2 linked regions of the Notamacropus eugenii genome follow. The protein of the gene in region 1 binds, or shares a complex with, the protein of each later gene. Links are inferred from orthologs where the notes say so. Each region holds a gene or a part of one and is shown on either strand. Other genes may lie near its edges.

What was found.
Region 2: the proteins of FN1 (region 1) and COL1A1 are in contact, whole or in part, in a crystal structure (PDB 3GXE), measured with the Homo sapiens proteins. The link is inferred for Notamacropus eugenii from reciprocal best matches to the Homo sapiens genes FN1 and COL1A1. Residues at the interface, in NP_997647.2 of Homo sapiens: Asp516, Gln517, Lys533, His535, Glu537, His539, Leu541, Gly549, Arg550, Gly551, Arg552, Trp553, Lys554, Cys555, Pro557, Gln560, Phe569; in NP_000079.2 of Homo sapiens: Leu261, Pro262, Gly263, Met264, Lys265, Gly266, His267, Arg268.

What each region holds. Positions count from the first base shown.
Region 1 is NC_092877.1:313,455,936-313,466,412, reverse strand, and holds the start of FN1 (fibronectin), read left to right. Parts: upstream 1-6,288; 5' UTR 6,289-6,620; coding exon 6,621-6,783; intron 6,784-7,949; coding exon 7,950-8,078; intron 8,079-9,117; coding exon 9,118-9,255; intron 9,256-10,477. UniProt on the Homo sapiens protein: Fibronectins bind cell surfaces and various compounds including collagen, fibrin, heparin, DNA, and actin. Fibronectins are involved in cell adhesion, cell motility, opsonization, wound healing, and maintenance of cell shape.
Region 2 is NC_092873.1:350,354,293-350,365,141, reverse strand, and holds the start of COL1A1 (collagen alpha-1(I) chain), read right to left. Parts: upstream 4,063-10,849; 5' UTR 3,923-4,062; coding exon 3,841-3,922; intron 2,190-3,840; coding exon 1,992-2,189; intron 1,682-1,991; coding exon 1,647-1,681; intron 1,544-1,646; coding exon 1,508-1,543; intron 1,411-1,507; coding exon 1,318-1,410; intron 1,217-1,317; coding exon 1,148-1,216; intron 829-1,147; coding exon 784-828; intron 408-783; coding exon 354-407; intron 1-353. UniProt on the Homo sapiens protein: Type I collagen is a member of group I collagen (fibrillar forming collagen).

The DNA of each region.
Region 1 (10,477 bases):
TTTAACTCTGAAAGATGAGTTTTCCTGAATCTAGGCTCAGAATTTATTTCCACTGAGTCATCCAGCTGACCCCTGGTATGCTTAGCATCATCATTTTTAAAAATCAGGTCTAGTATTTCATTGGTATAGGGAACTGCCCAGTAAGGAAATATCTTCTACCAATACAAATGGGCAGCTTCTCTGAAACTTACAGTCTTAGCACTTTACCTTGGATATTCAGAGTTCAAATCACTTGCCTAAGGTCACATATACTGGTATATATATCACAGGCAGAATTTGAACTCAGGTCTTCTTGATTCCCATGTGAGCTCTCTATTCACTGTTAAACAGACTGTCATCATTAATACTATTATTATTTCATTTTTAAAATGCATATAAATCTGGTCTTAATTCCATATAAGAGTAAGAGCCCTATTGGTCAAATATAGTGAAATACCATATTTTGAGGTGGGAGGAATTTTAAAGATGTAGGGTTTTTTTTCTCAGGAAGCAAATAAACATCTTTGACTTGGTTTTCCTGTTTGTTGTCATGACAGAAGCATATCTACCAGTTGAACTCAAAAGTATCTCAAAGTCTCAATGTAGAGTTCAACTTTAATAAAATACAACTGCACTAAGACTTTTGGGACATACTTTACAGTTGTCAGTTTAGCTTTATTAGATTAATGTTAATTTTGAAAAGTCGCCTGGGAATTACACTACTGTAACCAGAAGGGTTCACCTGTTAAGAAACAAAGGAATGGGTTTGCTTTTTTTTTAATGCTAACTAAAAATCGATTAACCTAATATATAAACAGAATGGTAATTAAATGAAAATTGATTAACTTTCAAAGCAAAAATCATATTCTCTTATATGTGTGTTCTCACATCATTTTGAGCACCAAGCCAGTTGTAGGAAAAGTTGTTCAGGTATTTAACACACACAAAAAGTTACTTGATAAGCCTTGGTTTCTTTAAGTAGTCAGGTTCAACACCTGCATCTAATGAATGGCATTTTCAAGGAAAGGTAATAGGATGATCTGTGGACTTAGTTTAAATCAACATAAGGAAAGAAAATCACCCCCTTCATCTTCATCCAGCCTAAGACAGGAAGAACTCACTGTGTCCTGAATCGTAAAAAGGTCATGGATCCTTTGAACTGAAGGAGCCTCTAGGGGTCATTTTGTTTATCACCTGTCCTTCAACAAATTAAAAATGGGATAGAATGCAAACATGTTCAAGAAAGAAATGCCACCTTTTTTACTACCTTCTAGAGGCATCAGGAAATCATTGATCATCTAAGCTAAAATTTGTACGAACAAAAGATTCAGAGACAAGAAAGTTGCCTGTGATTAATATCTGCTCTAATAAAATAAAATTGTTCAATTTGAAAAAAAAGCAAGAGTCCAACAATTCAATTCAATTTAATAAGGCTATATTAAGTAAGTGCCTACTATGTGTCAGGCACTTTGCTTATGCTTAGAGATGCAAAGGCAAGGAGGAAACTATCCCTGCTCTCAAGGACTTTACATTGTTAGTATTTTACTTTTTTGCATATTTATTCCTTAATCTGGGCAACTAGGTGGCACATTGGATAGAACATTGGATCTGGAGTCAGGAAGACCTGAGTTCAAATGTTACCGCTGACACTTACTAGATGTGTTACCCTGGTCAAGTCACTTAACACTATTTACCTCAGTTTCCTCATCTGTAAAATGAACTAGAGAAGAAAATGGCAAACCATTCTAGTACCTTTACCAAGAAAACTCCAAGTAGGTTGAAGAGTGGATCACAACTAAAATAAGTAAACAACAATATTTTAAAATTTATTTTGACCCTTTTAAAAAAGTCTTAACGAGCTCTGGTACTTTTCTTGGGATGGGGGGTAGCAAGTCTTTGCTATATATTAATTCTTCTATATGATAAACATAATCTTCGACTGAAAATTCAAGGAAATTAAATTCAGAAGCACATGACTACTCTTCCTTCCCATTAACTTCTTTCAACTAAAAAATAAAAACAATGAAACCACAAACAGCTTTTCTTCTTACAGTTACTCGAAACAAAGAAGTCTTCCTGTTCTCTGAAAGACATTGAAATTCAGCTTGCTTTGGGAAATCCAGAAACAAGACCTAAGATTGGTTCAACAAATCATTTGTCTCAATGTACAGTACAGGAGATGAAAGCCAGTCCTTGATGAAGGAAAAACTTTCTCTTAGGAAAATGAAAAAAAAAAAAAGTCAGGACTCCCTTTCTATACTGTTAATCTTAGAAGTGGCTTTGAAAAAAATCAAGATGGTAAAAATTAAATGTAGAAAATAGTATTTTTAAAAATCCATTGCATTCTGTTATGCTTTTCTGCCTGGAGCTCAAATAAATAAAGGAAACTCAGTGATATTCCATGGAAGGAGTGGGGAGAGGGAAGGTTATTTACCACAGTGCACCCCACCCTGTGAAAATATCCTTCACAGTTCCCAGGAAGTCAGTTTAAGGGACTATACATGTCAGTTGGGAATGAACAGCAAGCAAACCAAGAATCAATGTAGTTTTTAAGATTTAATTTTCTTTCCAGTTCGAGATAACAGACTAGCTTAGTTACAAGTGATTTTGTAATGAAAGAAAACTGTGGTAACGCTTTTTATCTAAACCAAGGAAATGTCTCAATAACCAATAGTTTTTAAAAGTGAGGGGAGGGGGAATCTTTCAAATAAATAAAAGGAGAAAACTATCTTGACATCCCTATAATGTGCAGTCAAATATCTCTTCCTTTTTACTAATGACATTTTTTTCTCAGTCTTTTGAATCATCCATCTGAATGAAGTTGTAGAAGCTTCTTAGTTTTAGAGTGGGTGGTTTTTTTTTTACGGTCTTGTATGCATATTATTCTAATGCATTTTGGGAAGAGAAAATATTGCAAACTCTAATGCTTTTAGTTCACTAAATATTTCCCTAACCACTGATTACCTTCTCCCAGAATCTATGTATTTTAAGTAAACTTTCTACTGTATGTTTATTGTGCTTATACACTGATTTCCAGGTATCCTTGCTTGGGAATACCTGGCTTCCCAGAAACTTGCTAGAACTTCCACAATGAGTCTTTTTTACCTTTAAAGGAAAAACACTGTTTTGTCAGGTAATGATGAGAACCTAAAAAAAAAAAAACCAAAAAAACCACAAAACTCAGACCAAACAGACCGTGACCAAGTGCTCTGAGTTTGGGAAAATCCACAATGCTCTTCCAACTTAAAATGTCAGTCGCAGTGGTACCACAAGAGATTATTTTGTACTTCTTGTAGGAAACCTATATTCCTTTGGAATATTTCCCTTTGGACTATTCTCCTTTTTGTTGTTTTATCACTGACAAAAAGCTTTTGCTTTGTCATTTTAACAGGCTAAATATTTTCCAAATACTAGCATTAGGATTGCAATATGGAAAAAGCTGAATGTGGGATTTTGGGAGGAAAAATATCTTGCTTACTTGCTACCAGTGAAACTGATTTTTTTCCCGAAGAAAACATAATTAACATACCTTTCTTTTGTAAGTGTGCAGAACTTCCAGGGTTTTGGCCTATCTTGGTTACTGAAGGAGGCTGCAGACTCTTCTCTGAAAGCCTTTAAAGGAAGAATGAGTTTGAGTTGTCAAGAAAGTCGCCTAATGTCCTATTCTCATTTTCCATCAGAGCATTTAGGTGACCCTGGGTTTTCAAAGGCTATCTCCATGAAGTCCAAGCATTGATAGATAGGTCCATACCAGCCTAAGAGGCATTAAATGTAGACCACATGCTTATTGTTTGAGGGCTAGCCTGCCTGAATTTTGAAAGACTGATCACAAAGTTGGCCACGTGCAGTGGTGAGCCAGCTTGTGCAAACTCAGGAAAGCCTGTTAGATTTTCATTGTGAGAGCCTACAAATCAGGATTTGGTTTATTGTTTCATTCTTTACCTAAAATTAAGAAACTGATGATGGAAAAAATCTTAATAATGCAGATTAAGCTTAAAAATGTGCTGTGTGTATAAGTATATTGTGTATGTATGTGTATGTATATGCACACATACATGCATATATATATATGTGTGTGTATGTTTGTGAGTATGTATATTCCCCCAGAGAGCCAGTTGTCAAACATTCCCCAACATGCCATTGGCATGGTAAATAATGTTTAGGTATAGCAACTTTCAAAAATCACCTTGCCAAGTCCTAGATTTTATGATCAATATTTAAGGAAGGAGTATTCACCCTATCCAAATCATGCGTTCTTGAAGTAGAGAATGGGAGACCTGCTCCTATCTGAAGTAAGAGGCTTCTCAACATGACTTTTCAATGTTCCCTTCCTGCCCAGTGAATGATTCTAGAGGGAAAAGGAGGAATCTTTTCAGTGGGAGGGTGTTCTCACAGAAAATGTAATTCAGATGGAAAATGGTTGAATCCCTTTTTATTTTCCTTTGATCAAGTGGATGGCTCCACAAGTCATTCAGAAAAAAGAAAGCAGACTAAGAAATGCATTTTGGCTAACAATCTCCATCTATCCATATTGTATTCATCCAGAGAATCAGAGATTTAGAGTGGGAAAGCACCTTCTCCTCTGATACACAGAGAAAGCTGAAGATTAAAGAAATGAAGTAATTGTCCAAGGACACACAGATAGTAAGTGACAGGATTAGGCTTAGAGATGAAGAAACTGAGGCCCTTAAGAGTTAAATGAGTTTCCCAAGATCACAAAGCTACAAGCACCTAGGGAGATAGCATGGTGGTGTGAATAGGACACTAGACTTGAGTCAGGAAGACTTGGACTCAAATTCCACCTCACTAGCTAGGTGTTGCAGTGGATAGAGCACCAGTGCAGGAGTCAGTAGGACCTGAGTTCAAATCTCACCTCAGACACTTGACACTCACTAGCTGTGTGACCTTGGGCAAGTCACTTAACCCCAATTGCCTCATCCTGGGTCATCTCCAGTCATCCTGATGAATATCTGGTCACTGAATTCAGATGGTTCTGGAGGAGAAGTGAGGCTGGTGACCTGCACAGCCCTCCCTCACTCAAAACAAAGTCAAGGGCAAGTCATGTTGTTATTTCTCTGATGGCATGGTCTTCTTGGGCAATGAAGGATCAACACACACACACACACAGGTGTGTAAGGATGGGCAAGACCCTAACCTATCTGTGCCTCAGTTTCCTTATTTGGGGAAGGATTATACTTAATGGCCTATGAGGTCCTTTCCAGTTCTAATTCTATGACCTAAGATCTAAACAGAAAACAAATCAGTGCAGCACTTAAGACAGTGCCCCACACCTAGGTACTTAATAACAGTGTATTGATTGACTAATCAAAGTCCAGTGCTCTTTCTTCTACAGTCCAGAAGACTGCATGCTTTTTGTATAGTGCACCTTTTGTATAAGCAGAGAATGTCTGTCTTTCTCTTAGAGTCATTCTGCTTTTCTCTGTCTTGAAAATGGAAGGTGTTTATTTGCTTCTGCTTATCCTTCTTCACTCAGGTTGGTTTTTATTTTTATTTTTGTTTTTTGATAGCCCATGAAGATGACACGATATCTTATTTAACAATATATCTTATTTAACAACATATTTAAAAATTAAAAAACAATATGTTTAACAATATATTTAAAAAAGAAATAATTGGCTTTCATTCCCCGACCTCCAATAGATCTCATTTGACCATGCCTTTCAACTGTTCAGAGCTCACCCAGGGCTTGGCAGGTGTGGCATTTGTACGGAGAGAGAGAAAGAGCTGAGCAAGAAGGATACCTAATGAAGACAGAAAGAATCCCCAATCCAGAACCACAGCCCAAAGTGAGGGAAGAGTACGAGGGAAGCCAACATGGGGCAGCCTGGACCTGGGACGGTGGGCAACCTCTGGACTTTGCAGAAGGGAAGTGGTTGGTGACTTTGGTCTGTCTTCCCACAAATACCACTGGAGTGAGTAGACTTTTTCTGCTGAAGTGATGCAATGTTCTTAAACTAGCAAAAAAAAGAAAGAAAGAAAAAAAAGAGGGAGAGAAGGGAGAAAAAAATTGGAATACCCTCACTTCACACAACTCCCACCACTCTTTCCTGCTTCTCTCCTGCCCACTACCACAAAAGGGGGGGGAAGAGAGAGTAAAAAGTTGGGCAACTGTTAAAGGAAACAAAAAAGTTCTCTTTTCCCCACCTCCTGGCCCGCGATCAGCATCTCTTTTGTTAGCGGTCCGGTACAGCCTTCCCTCCGTGACGTCAGGGGGCCCCTGGACCAATGGGCGAGGTGCTGGCCCCGGCTGGGGAATCGGGCGGGTCCCACCTACCCCGGCTCGCCAGTGGCCTGGCGGGGGTCGGGAGCAGAGGGTCCCATATAAACCCCAGCGCGCTCGGGCTCTCCGGCTCCGGCAGGCTGCAGGGTTCGAGGGGTGTGGAGAGAGGCGCACTGCCTTGGAGAGCAGAGGGACCCACGGCAGCCCCATCTTCAGTGCTTCTCCCCAGTCCCTTTTCCCTCCCCTTCCCCACTCTTGGTTCCCTACCTTCCCGCAGAAGTCTAGGGCCGGCCAGCGCTCCATGCAGCTTGCTCTCCCGCGGCTTGCCAAGTAAACCAGAAACTTAGGGTGGGGAGCAGTTGGTCTCTGCAGGAGCCTCTCTCAGTCCCCGCTTTGCAAGATGCCCAGGGACCCCGTCCCGGGAGGGCGGCGGCTGCTGCTGCTGCTGCTCCTTGCGCTATGTCTGGGCACCTCGGTGCAAGCCGCAAAGTCGAAGAAAAACCGGAGGCAAACTCAGCAAATGATTCAGCCTCCGTCCCCGGTGGCTGTCAGCCAAAGCAAAAGTGAGTAGCTTTCTCGGAGGCTTTCTCCCAGGACGGGACAAGTCGCCCAAAGTTGCTGGAGGAAACTTTTCTGGGTCCGTTAATGAATGCCTTAAAGAATCCAGTTGTAGGAACAAAGCCATTTCAGGGACCTGAGTGCCTGCTGCTGTTGGAATTCTGGGTTCCTTCTCTAAAGGATCTAAGAATTCACTGGGGATGCTTGTTGGGGGGTGGGGTGGGAGCGGTGTATTTCGTTGGAAAGCCCATCAGTCCTATAGATCGGATGCCTTTTTATCCAGTTAGGACTTTATGGAAGAATCAGATCAATGGGCGTTTTCTCAAAATGTCCATTCAAAATTTGGTTGACTTTTATGGACACTGCATTTTCGTCCTTTCCGTAAGTTTAACTGGTGTAACGTTTTCAAGATGAAAGGAAGATAGGTAGGGGAGTTAGGGAGGGAGTGCCTGCAAAATCTGCTACTGTTCTTTAGCCAGCTCTGAAACTTGGGCATTTGGTTCAAATTGCCTTCAGCCCCTGGAGATACTTCACCGTGTAAGGAAGAGGGAATTTCTTTTCCAGCTTTGAAAGGGAACCGTTTTTTCAATGGTCTAATGGAAACCACTAAAACTTGCTGAGTGGGACATGTTTCTGTCATTAATCACTGCTCCATTTACCTCCACAATGGCAATGTGGTTTGTGGGAACTTTCTTTTCTTTTTTCTTTTTAGTCAAGTCTCCAACTTCTGGTTTTTTAAGAAACTTTTTCACTTCTGGTCAATTGGAAATAGTTTCACTAAGTAACGTTTAGTTCTGTAACAATACCCAAAACTCACCCCTACTTGATTTCTGTTGGCCCCAAAGATTGCTAGACAACTTTTTAAACTCATTGCTTTTGGATGATCTGCGCCCTCTCTCTCTCTCTCTCTCTGTCTCTCTCTGTCTCTGTCTCTCTCTCTGTCTCTGTCTGTCTCTGTCTGTCTGTCTGTCTCGCTCTCTCAGCTTTTATGATGCTTTGAAGGCTAGAGCTCACTTCTCCAATTCACTTCCTATCATTGTTAGTTTCTTATTAACCCTATTTAGTTTCTTTATTTCGTTATTGTCAATTTAGTTAAGTAGAAAAGTTTCCAGGCATGAAATGGAAAGTCAATAATAGATGATACGTTTTTTTCCCTGTGAATTCATTGCAGCTGGCTGTTATGACAATGGAAAACACTACCAGATCAACCAACAATGGGAGCGCATTTACTTGGGAAACGCACTGGTTTGTACCTGCTATGGAGGCAGCCGAGGTTTTAACTGTGAGAGCAAGCCTGAACGTAAGTGAGAGAGAGTTAGATGGAGAAGTGCTGATCATTAATTAACTAGACAAAGAAATTACAAATTAAAATTCTAGGGCATTTTCCTCAGTTCAGAGCTACATAATGTACAATTTTAAGTTCTAAAAATATTTAGTAAGTTCTTTGTACACTCATCTCTGTCTTAGAGGTGATAGCTAATGTCAAAGTAATTTTACTTTTAAAAAAGAATAAAACAAATTGCTTCCTAAGTCTCTTCTATTCCCTAATTTAATGAAAAATATACGTGTTATTTGCCCACAAGATAAAATGCATAGTTATCCCTGGAAAGTGGTAGGAGATTTTAAATATGTAAAGAAAAGGGACTGGATCTGTGAATTCATTGGGACCTCCCAGTTGAGGAAACTCCCTCAATCACATAGGTTTACACCTTTTCTCTACAACTTAGATTCTTAACGTCGTAAGTGTTTAAACTGCAGAGAAGCAGTTTTTGTGGACTAGAAACCATATTAGGAGGATCAAATCCCCTTACATGTGAAAAGTGATGTCAATTGTATCTTTAAATCTGACCTCTTAAAATAGACTTTCCCCCTTTGTAATCATTGATATTTTTCTCCTTAAGTCTGTCAAAACTCATCCAAAAGAAGCATTAGTATGACTATTGTGGGAACAGTATTAAATAATAAATTTAGTTGCCCAATGGGGGAAGGGGTGGGGCAGGAATTAATAAACTGTAGACTTATGTATAGCACTCCAGTTTGACTTCCTGAGGCAAGCATCTATATCTCAAATTTCTTCCCTAATAGCATGGAGTGTGTCAAAAGCACAGCAGCTTTTATGACACCTGTTCTTTACAATGGAAATCACGTTGTAAAACAACTTGAGGACCCAAGGCCATAGAGGCACTATCTGAACCAAGAGGAAAATGTGAATCTCCTCAATCCATGTCCTTTGCTTTTCTTCATCCACTCTGCTCTGTCTCCTCTAGAATGGGAAATGGGTCTTTGTACAGATGGGATTCTAGGAATGTAAAAGTTGTTCCTCTAATCTTCCCTCTCAGCTGAAGAAACATGCTTTGACAAATATACTGGAAACACCTACCGAGTCGGGGACACTTATGAGCGCCCAAAAGATTCCATGATTTGGGATTGTACCTGCATTGGGGCTGGTCGAGGGAGAATCAGCTGTACCATTGCAAGTAAGGAACACTTCAGTATGACTTCTTTTCATTGTACTAGCCAGTACCTTCTGGAAAAGTTCACTTAGTAAAGACAAAGTGTGTCCTTCTCTATAAGTATGAACTCAATTCCGATCACAGACAACTTTCTACTATTGGTAAAAAGCATTTGTGGTTACCCGTGAGCATCCTGGGCTACTTTTACACAGCTGTCCAGTCAGGATATGAGCTTCTGAACACAAAGTGGAATGTATGTTGGAGTATGTGTGTGTGTGTGTGTGTGTGTGTGCGCGTGCATATGTACCTGTGTCTGTGTCTTCAGCTCCACTTCAGAATATAAATTAATTGAGAAATTATCTGGTGCCCATTCTCTACTTAGAACAGATAAGCCAGCTGTTTGATGTGACATAGATTTAAGAGAAAAAGTATATATTTTTGGTATCTTCATATGTGACATGTTAACCTGATCATAAGTATGACTGATCCATTCATTTTGTTCTTTTTCACAATCCAAATTGATTATGATCCTCAGAAGCTGTTAAATTTGGGGGGCAACTAATTTCATTCATATGTCATTTATGTTTTCATTACTATAGCTCATGGATACACTCCAATTTCTTACTGTTTAATACATTACTCTGAAAATAGACCTTAACTGTATTTCTGAAGGGAAAATACAATCAAATGTCCCAAAGTATCTAACAGTAAGGGTAGTTCTAATAGGGTCAAGGAATTCATTTAAATTTGATCTGCTACATCTTATTAGCTGATTAAACTAGAAGGTTGTGTGTGTGTGTGTGTCTATTTACGTCTTTATCAATTTAAAAGTCAGAGACACAATACTCAGGCATTCATTTATGATTAGTCCAAACCAGTTCTCTTAATACTTTAGTTTGGAAATATCCAAATTTAAGGGCTTAGGGTTTTCTCTAAAATTTCTCCTCCACCTTCCTCTCTCTGTCTCTCTCTATTTCTCTCTCTCTCAAGGATATTTCATGCTTACCTTTCTTGATTTAGGATCATCAGTTTAGGCACAGAAGATTCCATCAATCTAATCCTCTCTAATTTGACAGTTGAGGTACCTGAGTCTCTGATAAATTAACTTGCCCAAGGTAGCATAAGCCATAAGCTCAAGAGTCAGGAATTGGACACAGGTCACCGGTTTCCAAATATGGTGCTCTTTCCATGCATCAATGAGTTTAATGTTTCTGGGAAAATAAAAATACAGTACACACTTAGGTTT
Region 2 (10,849 bases), on another chromosome or scaffold:
ACTGAGTTCAAAATCTGCCTCAGACACTTCCCAGCTGTGTGGTCCTGGACAAGTCACTTAACCTCTCTCATTCTCAGTATCTTCATCTATACAAGGGGGTCATTCTAGAGTCTACCTCGCAGGACTGTTGTTAGGATCAACTGAGATCAAATAGGTAAAGTGCTCTGCCAAGTATAAAGCACCATACAAATATTAATTATTAAGATGAAGACACCCTTCACTTAAGAAAGATATATATGGGGGGGGGTTGGGGTGGGAGGAGGGAGACGTGTATATGAATGAAACTCTTGTTACATGCTGGATGAATGGGGGAAGGAGAGGGGCAGGAAGAGGGAGTTGGTAGGACCACTTACAGAAGCTCCAGGCTCACCGGGTTCACCAGGGGGGCCTTGGAAACCTTGGGGACCCTGGAGGGGAAAGAAATTAGGGAAGCATGAGAAAGACATGTCATCACCACATGACTCTCATCCCTGCTAGTGTCAGCACTGTCCACTAGCCTCTTCATTCGCCACCTTCATTTAAACTTAGCACCTATGTGTTAATTGCCTATTTTGTGCTAATTCACACAATCTCCATCAAGCTAATTAGCATCCCCACGGCCATCACGATCCTCCTACCTCCAGCTTCTCACCTGCTAGAGGCAGGCACTATAGGGCCCCTGACAACATCTGAATGTCCCAGAAAGAGAATCCTGAACACCTCTCCCCTACCCTTTCCCTGTAGAATCCTAAAAGAGACTCAGACTGAAGATCCTCAAGTGACTGCAAGACCACAGATACTTACTGGTGAACCAGGGGGACCAGGGAGACCACGAGGACCAGAGGGACCCTAAGGAGAAAAGAGAAAAATGATGAATTCAAAAGGAAAATGCAAGGCACAGAATACCTTTATCTTTCATTTCTCATGGGTTCTCTGTTGCCTTTACCTATCCTTGAAATCCCAGAAAGGATCTTTGTCTCCTAACAAGACCAAACAAATCTGGAGATGACTGCCCTTCTGGCCCCTACCCCTTCCCAATGTCTCCAAACTTATTTGCGTCTTTTTGTATCCCCAGTACTCAGTGCAGAGCCTGGCGCATAGTAGGGTGCTTAATAAATGTTTATTGATTGATTATTTTTCTATCCTCCCTTTGCCCTAGTGAGCTTACCATAGGTCCAGGCACAGATATGCCGCCTGATTTCTCATCATAGCCATAAGACATTTGAGGAGCAAAGTTCTAGAGGAAAAAACAGAGAGAGAGAGAGAGAGGGAAAGGGTCAGGTCAGTTGATGGAAGGGAGGAAAAATCCTTTCAAGAGTGACTTGATTGTATACTTACTCCTCCAAGGCCAGGGGGACCAGGGGGACCAGGGGGACCGGGGAGACCAGGCTGTCCTGGGATGCCATCTCTTCCAGGTGGGCCTGGAAGTCCCTGCCAGGGAAAGAAAGCAAATGCCAATGTCAGCCACAAAGCAGGCCCCACACTCACTGCCCACCACCAAACTTCCAAAGAAGGTTTAAAAGCTTACCCTTTCACCTCGGGGTCCAGTGTCTCCTTTGGGACCCTGTGAGATTGGATGAAAAAGAAAGGAACAAGGTTTAGACAAGTGGGTGGGCAACGGAGGGGATATTCATGAGTGAGGCAAAAAACTAAGGACTATTCTTTACCTCGGCTCCTGTTTCTCCGGGAGAGGATGGTGAAGCTATAGAGAGGACAAGAGAAGGAATCAGAGAATGACTCTGGCAGCAGAGGGGTAGGGGAAGACTAGAACCCTACCTCAGGCCCCTATTAAAAACCAAGACCTCTAGTGGTCAGAGAAGACTGAATGAGAGTGGGGTGGGATGGGGGAAGGAGTGGGGAGGAAGAGAGAGAGAGAAGAGAGGCAGGTCCATTCTATGGACTTGTGGAATCAGGAAAGATAGTGAACAGAAAGGAAGAGGGACTCTGATTGGTGGGATGGAGTGTGGGGAAGGGGGGGGGGGGATTGGGTAGGTAGGAGGAGGGGGGCATACCGGCATCGGCACCAAGGCAGGAGGGACAGCATTCATCGTCCTTGTACTCTACATTGGGACAGTTGGAAACGTCTTCACAGATTATTTCGTCGCACAGGATGTTTCCATTGTCACAGACACAGATTTGGCAGGTCTCAGGTTTCCATACTTCCCCGTTGTTGTACTTTATACCATTCTGTACACAGGTGCCTTCTGGAACTGGGGGACAAAGTTGGAAGTGGTGGATCAGTAGCGGATGGGAGTAGGGGGAGAAAAGGGAAACCCAAGTACCTTTCTACCCAGTACTCCAGAGGGGTCCTACTTTTCCTCTACTTTTCCTCCCTCTTCCATGGAGTCAGGGAAGCATTGGATTTCTCACTTCCTATATCCTCAGCATCTGTTCATCTCCCTCGCTCCGCCCCCCATCAACTCTTAAGATTCATCTGCTTCTCATCAGGGGCTCAGTGACAGCAAAGGCTCAGGGCCAGAGACATTCTAACTCTTTCCAGTTTAGGAATTTAAACAAAACTTTAGGCCAGTTGTTCCATCAAGTTCCGACCTTAGTTCATTGGGGCGAGGCCAAGTCAAATAAAAGTTAGGGTGAGGGGAGAGTGGGGAGAGAATGGAACAGAAAAGGCCCCAAGTGTGGAAGAGGGGAGATTTGGGTAGGGATGGCAAGGAGAAGGAAGAGGATCATGAGGAGGCAGGTGGAGACAAATGGAGAAAAGAGTGGGAGGAGAGAAAGAGGAGTGCTCTGGGGGAGGGCGAATTAAAGTGAGGAGCAAGGGAGGGGAGTCTCCTCAAAAAACTATTGCGCTCCTCCAAACCAACAGACACGCCCTAACGTCTATCCTGTTACTCCTGACCCCCTTGGTCCTTTTCTCTCATCATAAACAGACACCCACAAAGCAAGATCCAATGGCCGCGCCCTGCCCTCTCTTCCCTGAATAAGCCCTTTCTGGGTCTTTAAGTGACTGAACCAAACAATAAGAAAAATCAAAAACTCCGCAAAAAGTCGATTCTAGTCCCTCTCCTCATCCCCCGCGCGTGCAACAGAGTGGTTCACCACGAGGTGGCACGCAGCGCTAGCAAATGGACACGAGTCGGAGAAAAGGGGAGGTCAATTGCCCAGATAGCCTGCCCAAGCTCCCCCTTTCCCACACCACCCCCGCCCACCTCCCAGGAAGCGGGCGAGGCACTGGGATGTCCCGCTACCCTGGACGCAAGGGGAGGCGTGGTAACCTCTCTCCCCTCCCCCCACGGGGCCGGCAGAGGGCGCTGGAATTCCACCCTGCCCCCGCCCCACTCAAGTTTCTCCTCCTCCTACCCCCGCAGCCCCCCACCCCTCTCACACTCCACCCCTCCTCTTGCAGTGGACCCCAAGCATCCCAAGAGCTTGGAACTGCGTCTAGACTGCAGAGTCTGCAAAAACGTTTTTCTTATGAATCATCCTTAATTCCTTCCTGATGGCTTTTGCATTTTGGGTTCAGTAATCCTAGTCTACCACCCAGACCCCATTTGTCCCCAAGTTCCTCTCCTTCTAAAAGCCCCAACGATACTTGTCCTATTGTCCACGGGATCTTCTTTGAGCCCTCTCACCCACCTAACTCGCTGTGAGCTTTCTTTTCAACCTGTTCCTCTCTGATGGGATATCACCCTTCCCTCAAAAATCTATATCCCCTACTGCCTCAAACTCGTTCGTCTATGAGGACTCCCTTAGAAATCTCATCTCCTGCTAGCCTTCCAGACCCTGAGCAATCCAGCTCAAGTAGGGGGTCCTCAGGAGGTGTGTTAACGGGGAGCTGATAAATGAACTCCAGTTACATGCATTTCCTCTCCCTCCCCCCCCCAAAAAAAGTTTCCAACTTACTGTCTTCTTCGTCTTGGCCATGGGTGAGGACGGCAGTGACTGCTAAGAGCAGCAGGAGCCGGGGATCCACAAAGCTGAACATGTCTAGGTCCTAGACATGTAGACTCTTTGGGGCTTGGGGTTGGGGGGTTACCGTCCACTCATGCGCGGCCTGAGATTCTTGGGTACCTCCTGCTCAGACCCCAAGGAGAAACTCCCGTCTGCTACAATGCCTGCTCTGGGCCCCTTTTTATATTGTCCTGGGATCCCAGGGAAGGAGGGATCCAGCCCCCACTGAGAGGGGGAACGGGCCACCCGCTGCCCAACCAATCAGGGCCTCACAGTCCGGCCCCCAATTTGGGAGTTGGAAGGGAGGGGAGGGAGAGGGGGGAGAAGTGGGAGGAGGGAAGAGAAGAGAATCTGCCCTTTCCTTTCCCTGCCCCCCCAATCTTTCTGTCTTCTCGGTTCCCCCCTCCCCCCGATGTGCCCAGCCTAGAGATACGGCTTGCTAGAATATGAGCTGGGTTCTCCGTGTAGACTTGGGGGGTTATTATAGGGGGAAAAAAGAGATCAGAGACCTCTGAATGGGGAGCAACCACTGACAAAAGCGGAATGGATTGGGGGGGACTGGGGAAAAGGGAAATCGTGAGGAAGAACTAAAGAGGGAAATGAGGAGACTTGGATGAGGAAAGCCCCCTCCATCAAAGCAGGTGGAATGCTTAATAAAAGGGAGAGCCCCTCTTTAGGGAGTGTCGTCTGTTGGGGGTTTGGTGACATTTGGGAGAACAGGGAAGGGTCATTGGTCCTAGATGGTAAGAAGTAAATGTCTGTGAGAAATTTGACAAGGGGGTCCCCCTTTGGAGAGGGGGATCCTCCGGCTACCATGTCTGGGGCTTGGGCAGGGAGTTTGGGTGGTAGTTTGGGGTCTCTATCATCTCAAGGCAAGAGAAAGGATTGGGGGTTGCTGAATGGTTAGGGGAAGGATTACTTGAGAACATAATCTCCCCATCTCAATTGCCTCCTACATCTGGGACTACAAGGAGGTGAGGAGGAGGGACGGAGAGGTATCGTACTCTACTCTGAGTACCAAGGTGAGAGTGTCTGTGACTTGGTGGAGAAGATCCCTGGGAATTGTTGGGTAACTGACTACTTGTCAGAAAGGGTATTGCTTTCTTCTAGAGAAAGCTTTAACTGCTCAAAAGATGATTTCAGGGTGGCAGATGGGAACTACCCCAGATCAAGAAGGGAACGGAGGGCTGCACATTTAGCAAGAAGGGTCTCCCTTTGGATGTGTTTCCTGTCCTCATCCTAGGTATGTATTCCTTCCAGGGATTGTAGAATGTGTATGTGAGGTGTGGGTTTGTGGGGATGGACCTGGGTGTCTAAGGAAAAGCTTTGGCTAAAACACACACATGAAAATTATTTTTTAAACAATGTCTTGTATTATATGCGGGATTTGGGGCAGAATTGTGCGTGGGGGGTGGTTGAATGATTCTTGTTTTCAGAAGGAAACCATCTCTCTCCTCTCTTAGGAGCTAGGAGGAAGTTCTTTGCTCCTTCAGAGCTGTGCAGAGATCCTCAGAGTGAGTCATAAGTTCTCGAAAGTGGGGAGGTGGTTGCTTTGGTGTACATTTGGGGGACATTCCTTGAGGGACCATCATGATGCTTTGACCTCTAGAGTTTCCTCAATCCTAGACTCCTTAGAATCTGCAGTGCCTTTATGTCCCCAGACCTTATTACCCAGTTCTTTCAAATCCCCAAGACCTGCCCCCACAGTACCCCAGTATAACTTATTCCACAGTACTCCAGGTCCCCTCCTTCTAACTCCTTCTGGTAGGGACCAGAGTGGACCCCGCACACCTGTTTCCCTCGACCCCAATAGCAGCCCTCGCCATATCCCCCATTCAAAGTCACTCCCAGGCTGCTAACGTGGAAGGGGGAGCCCCGCCCCCAAACCCTTCCAAGATTCCAGAGTTCTCCCGCCCCCGCCCCCCTCTCCCCCCAGTCCCAGCTGGTTTTGTGCAGTGCAAGAAACCAGAGAGGGAAAAAAAAAATACATGGGCCAGAACAAGGCAAGTGAAGCCACGTAGGATATGGGCAACGGGACCATAAGTGGAGGGGGGGGGAGGCTTTAGGGGCTATAATTAAAGGGGAAAATATAGAGTTTCCAGCGAGGCAGGCTTGGAGACAGATGGGGGGGGAGTCTGCTCCAATTACTGCTCCGATGTGGCATCCTCTTGGAGTCATTGTGGCCCTGCGCCCCACCCCACCTCCCAGATGCTTGGAGTTGGCCCTAGAGCATCTGCAGAGCCCTTTGGTCCAGGAAGGGTGACTCAGGCTGAGAGTCTCCTGCTCCTTCTCCCAAGGAGATTTTTCTGTGCTCCCACTGTATTCCACTCCAACACATTTTCTTCACTGCAAAGCATGCTATCCCTTCCACCAAAACACTCATGAACTCATTACCCTCATTTAAATTGGATGCTTGAAATAGTTAAGGGGTTAGGGGTCTTGATGGTTGTTTGACCCAGTAGTGTGTGGTGCATGTGTATGTGGTGCGTGTGTGTGTGCAAGCTTGCACATGGAATTGAAAGACGGTACCCTTCCTTATCCCCTTTTCTGCCATAGCCTATGGGGGGACTATGACCCCTGTAGGTCCTTAGGGTAGGCAGACTGAAATCATCCCCTTGACTCCACCTCTTAGCTATATTTGCCCCTAACTGTTCCTTTCCCCACCACTCCTGAAGAGAACACCAACTCATCACACATGTAGACTGGCTGTTTGTCATACCATGGGGCTAGAGTCGTGAGGAATGTGTCAAAGTCCTCCCAGAGAAGGAAGGGTGGAGTGTGTGTGTATGTGTGTGTGTGTGTGTGTGTGTGTGTATGTGTTGTGACAACCATTCTCATATTGGTCCAAGATTCTTTTATCCATCATCCATGCGTCTCAGAGCTCCATACACACGTGGCATGGAAGAAGGCGAGGGTCCTGGCTTGGGGCCTCCTTCTCTTCCTCCTCTTTTTCTTTCTCCTCCTTTTTGACTTGAAACACTTGGCCAGCAGCCAACCTGAAGATGTGTCTTTAATTTCTACAGGATGACGGCAAAGGGAAGAATGCCGTGCCGACGCCGGCAGAGCTGCCTCCTTTCCCCCTCACTCCCCTCCTCCTCATAGACCAGCCCTGCTGGCCTGGAAGGAGGGGGATCTTTGGGGGGAGACGCCACCTCATCTTTAGGAAACTCTGAAGTTCAGGCTTCTTCGGGAATGGAATGCATTCTCCATGATTGGCATGTGTGTGCTGGGGGGTAGGGGTGGAGAACAGACTGAAATCTCCACCCATTCCCCCCCTCCCCCCAAGAAATGGTAAAATCATCAACGTTTTAGAGGAGGGAAAAAAATCACCTCAAGAAGCAAGAAAAACAAAAGGGTTGAAAAGTGCTGAGCTCTGAATTCTCTCACTTTCCAAGTTTCCCCAAAGCTCCCTCCTGCCCGGCTCCCCTCAACACACCCCAGAAGAAAAAGACCTAAAGAGATAGTGATCTCACTTTAGCCTTTTCCACATCTCCCCCTCCCCAGATTTGCTCTCTCTGCTCTCCTCCTTTGGGCTCCCTTATAATGTGAAAACGTCAAGCACATCTGGACAGAGCTACCTGAGGCACTGGCACAGCTGGTGTGATGAGGTAGGTGACGCCCCTTCCCCCTCGCATCTGGAGCTCCTCTTTCCTTCCAGCTGTGCCTCTCCCCCCACCATCAATCTTATTGTTCATAGGTTTTAGAATGAGAAGGACCACTTGGAAGCACTGATTTAAAGATGAAAGATAAAATCTTGAAGGTCATCAAATTGAATCCTCTCATTTTACAGATGAGAAAACTGAGGTGGCCAGAGCAGTGCTGTGTTCACAGCCACAAAGGTAGCAGAAAATAATAAAGTTGAAATCAAAACTAAGGTCTTCTGACTTTAAATCTTAGCCCCCTTTCTAGCTCAGCCGTGTTAATTTTTCCATTTTATTTTATTGTTCAATTAGCAAACATTTATTTTCTTTCCCTCTCTCCTCACTCCAGTTTTAAAAAAGGAAAAAAAGCACAGCCAAAACGTTCTAACAAACATGCCTGGTCAAACCAAGCAAATTCCCACACTGTCCATAATCAAAATCTAGGTCCCATTCTGCACCCTGAGTCCTTCTCCTCTCTAGAAGGCGAGGTTCTTGCATCATCCCGAGTCTTCTGGAATCATGAATGGTCATTGTGCTGATCATCATTCTTAAGTCTCTCGGCATTGTTTATCTTTATAATGTTATTATGGCATAAAGTTTTCTGGTTCTGCTCACTTCACTCCGCGTCAGTTCATACAAATCTTTCCTTCTCCGAACTTTTCTCTTTGATCATTCTTCACAACACAATAACATTCCCTTATATTAATATGCTCTAACTTGTTCAGCTAGTCCCAACTGATGTTGGCACCTCATTTTACAGCAGACATGACAGGATCAGAGACATCGAGTGACTTGTTTAGGATCCAAGGTGATAAATGGTAAAATTAGCATTGGAACAGATCTTTTGGTTCTAGATTCCTCCCTTCCTTTCCTTCCTCCCTCTATTTCCTTCTCTTTTTCTTTTTCTTTTTTCTTCCTTCCTTTTCTCCCCTCCCCTTCCATTTTCCTTTCCTTTCTTTTTTCTTTCTTCCTTTCCTTCCTCCCTCCCTTCCATCTTTCCTTCCTCCCTACCTCCTTCTATTTCTTTCTTTTTCTTTCTATTACTTTCTTCCTTCCTTCTTTCCTCTCCCCTTCCCTTTTCTTTTCCTTTCTTTTTTCTCTTTCTTTCCTTTTTTCTTTCTTTCTTTCCTTCTTTCCCTCCCTCCCTTCCTTTCCTTCCTTCCTCTCTTTGCTCTTTCTTACTTCTTTCCTTTTTTCATTTCTTTCCTCCATTTCTTCTCTCTTTTCTCCCTTGCTCCCTTTTTCTCTTCCCACCTTTATTTCTCTTCCTTCTTTCCTTCCTTTCATCATTTCCTTCTTTTTTTCTCTTTCTTCATTCCTTCCTCTTTTTCTTCCACTTCTTTCTTCCTTTATTTTTCTTTCTTCCATTCTTTCTCTCTTCCCTCTTTCTTTACTACCCTTCCTTTCTCTCTTTCTTGCTTTCTTTCTTCTTTTCTTCCTCTCTTTTCTCCATTTCTTTCTTTCTTTCTCTTTCTTCTTTTCTTCATTCCTCTCTTTTTTCTTTTTTCCTTTTTTCTTCCTTTCTCTCTAACTTTCTTTCTTCTTGCCTTTCTTTCCTCCTCTCCTTCCTCCCTCTCTTTCTTTCCTTCATTTTTCTTTCTTTCTTTCTTCCTTCTTTTCTTTCTTTCAGTTAGAAAGTCATACAAGCTGGAAGTAGAGCAGCCACTCACAAGCCCAATCCCATTAATATTAATATGTGGTTTTCTAAGTCAGTATGCAGTTCTCTGGAGTCCTTGTGTAAGGTTTAGTGGCCCAGGTTTCTATTCCAATTTGACTGCTGTTCTGGGTGACACTCCATGCAACTATCTTTGGTAGAGAGTATTTTACCTCCTGGGAGTTTCTAACAGCAATTCACTGGTCTAGTCTTTATTCCAGTCAGGTTGGCCTTCCTGCTCTACCTTATATATGCCATTCCATTTCCTGCTTCAATGCAGCTGTAAAGGCTGTGCCTCATGCCTGAAATGCATTCCCTCCTCACCTCTGCCTCTTAAAATTCCTGGTTTCCTTCAGAACTGAGCTCGAACCCCCCCCTTACATGAAGCTTTCCCTCATTCTCCCAACTGTTAGTGCCTTCCAAGTGAAATGGTTTTGTATTTATGGTGTGTACATTTCATAGGTTCTTCAGCACTGGCTACCACCTCAGACAGAAGGTAAGGCCCTTGAGGTCAGGGGCAGTTTCAGTTTTGTCTTTGCATCCTCGGAGCTTAGCACAGTGCCTGACACATAGTAGGTATTTTATAAATGTGCTTATTATTAATCAGCCCTTAGTCCACAAACATTTATTAAGCTCCTCCTTTGTGCTAAGCACTGTACTAAGCTCTGAGAATACAGATATGAAAAAAGACACCCCCTCTCCTCACAGAGTTTATAATGTAATGAAGAAAGCTGTGGTGCCAGGGAAGGTTTCTGACATAGTAGAAGAATCAGAAAGGTTCTGAAGTAGCCCAGCCAGGTGAGAAAGAAGTTCTGAGCTGAGCTCCCTCCTTAAATGGGTGGTTTGGAGTTCATGGCTCCAACTTCCAATGAAAGGGACCAGAGGGTGGTGATTGTCCCCATGGAGCCAGTAGGAGATAACAAAACAGACCATGGGGGAGAGCAAGGCAAGCTTCTTGAAGACCATAAGTAGGCAACAAGACTGTGATGGAGAAGAAACTTGAGGCTAGGGATTGGAGGGGATATTTCCTTCTCATGGAAGTGTCCAGAAGCAGGAAAGAAGGTGTAGACAGGGAATAGGATCATAAGATTTGGAACAAACAGGCAGTTAGGTGGTGCAGTGGATAGACCAGAGTCAGAAAGACCCGAGTTCAAATCTGACTTCAGACACTTACTAGCTGTGTGACTCTGGGCAAGTCATTTAACCTTGTTTACCTCAGTTTCCTCATCTATAAATGAACTGGAGAAGGAAATGGCAAACTACTCCAATATTTTTGTCAAGAAAACCTCAAATGGGGTCATGGAGAGTCAGACATGACTGAAATGACTAAGCAACAGCATCTGAATCTAAAACAGATCTAATACTCCTTCTAGTCCAACCCCTTCCTTCGACTGCTGAGGCTCAGGGAAACTGAGTTATTTGCTTAAGGTCACACAGCTAATAAGTGACTGAAGCAGAATTTGAACCCAAGTCCCTTGATTCAGAATCTAGCAAACAGTCTTTCCACTGAACCACACTGTCTCCCTCAAAAGAGAAAATTGCTTGAGATGGAGAAGCTGAACTCTGTCTGCCTGGAGTGGCTCCGACTTCTTCATGCTGGGTAACTTAAGTGAGATGAATGAAGTTTATTAATATATGAACAAAACCAAAGGCAATGTGGGTCATT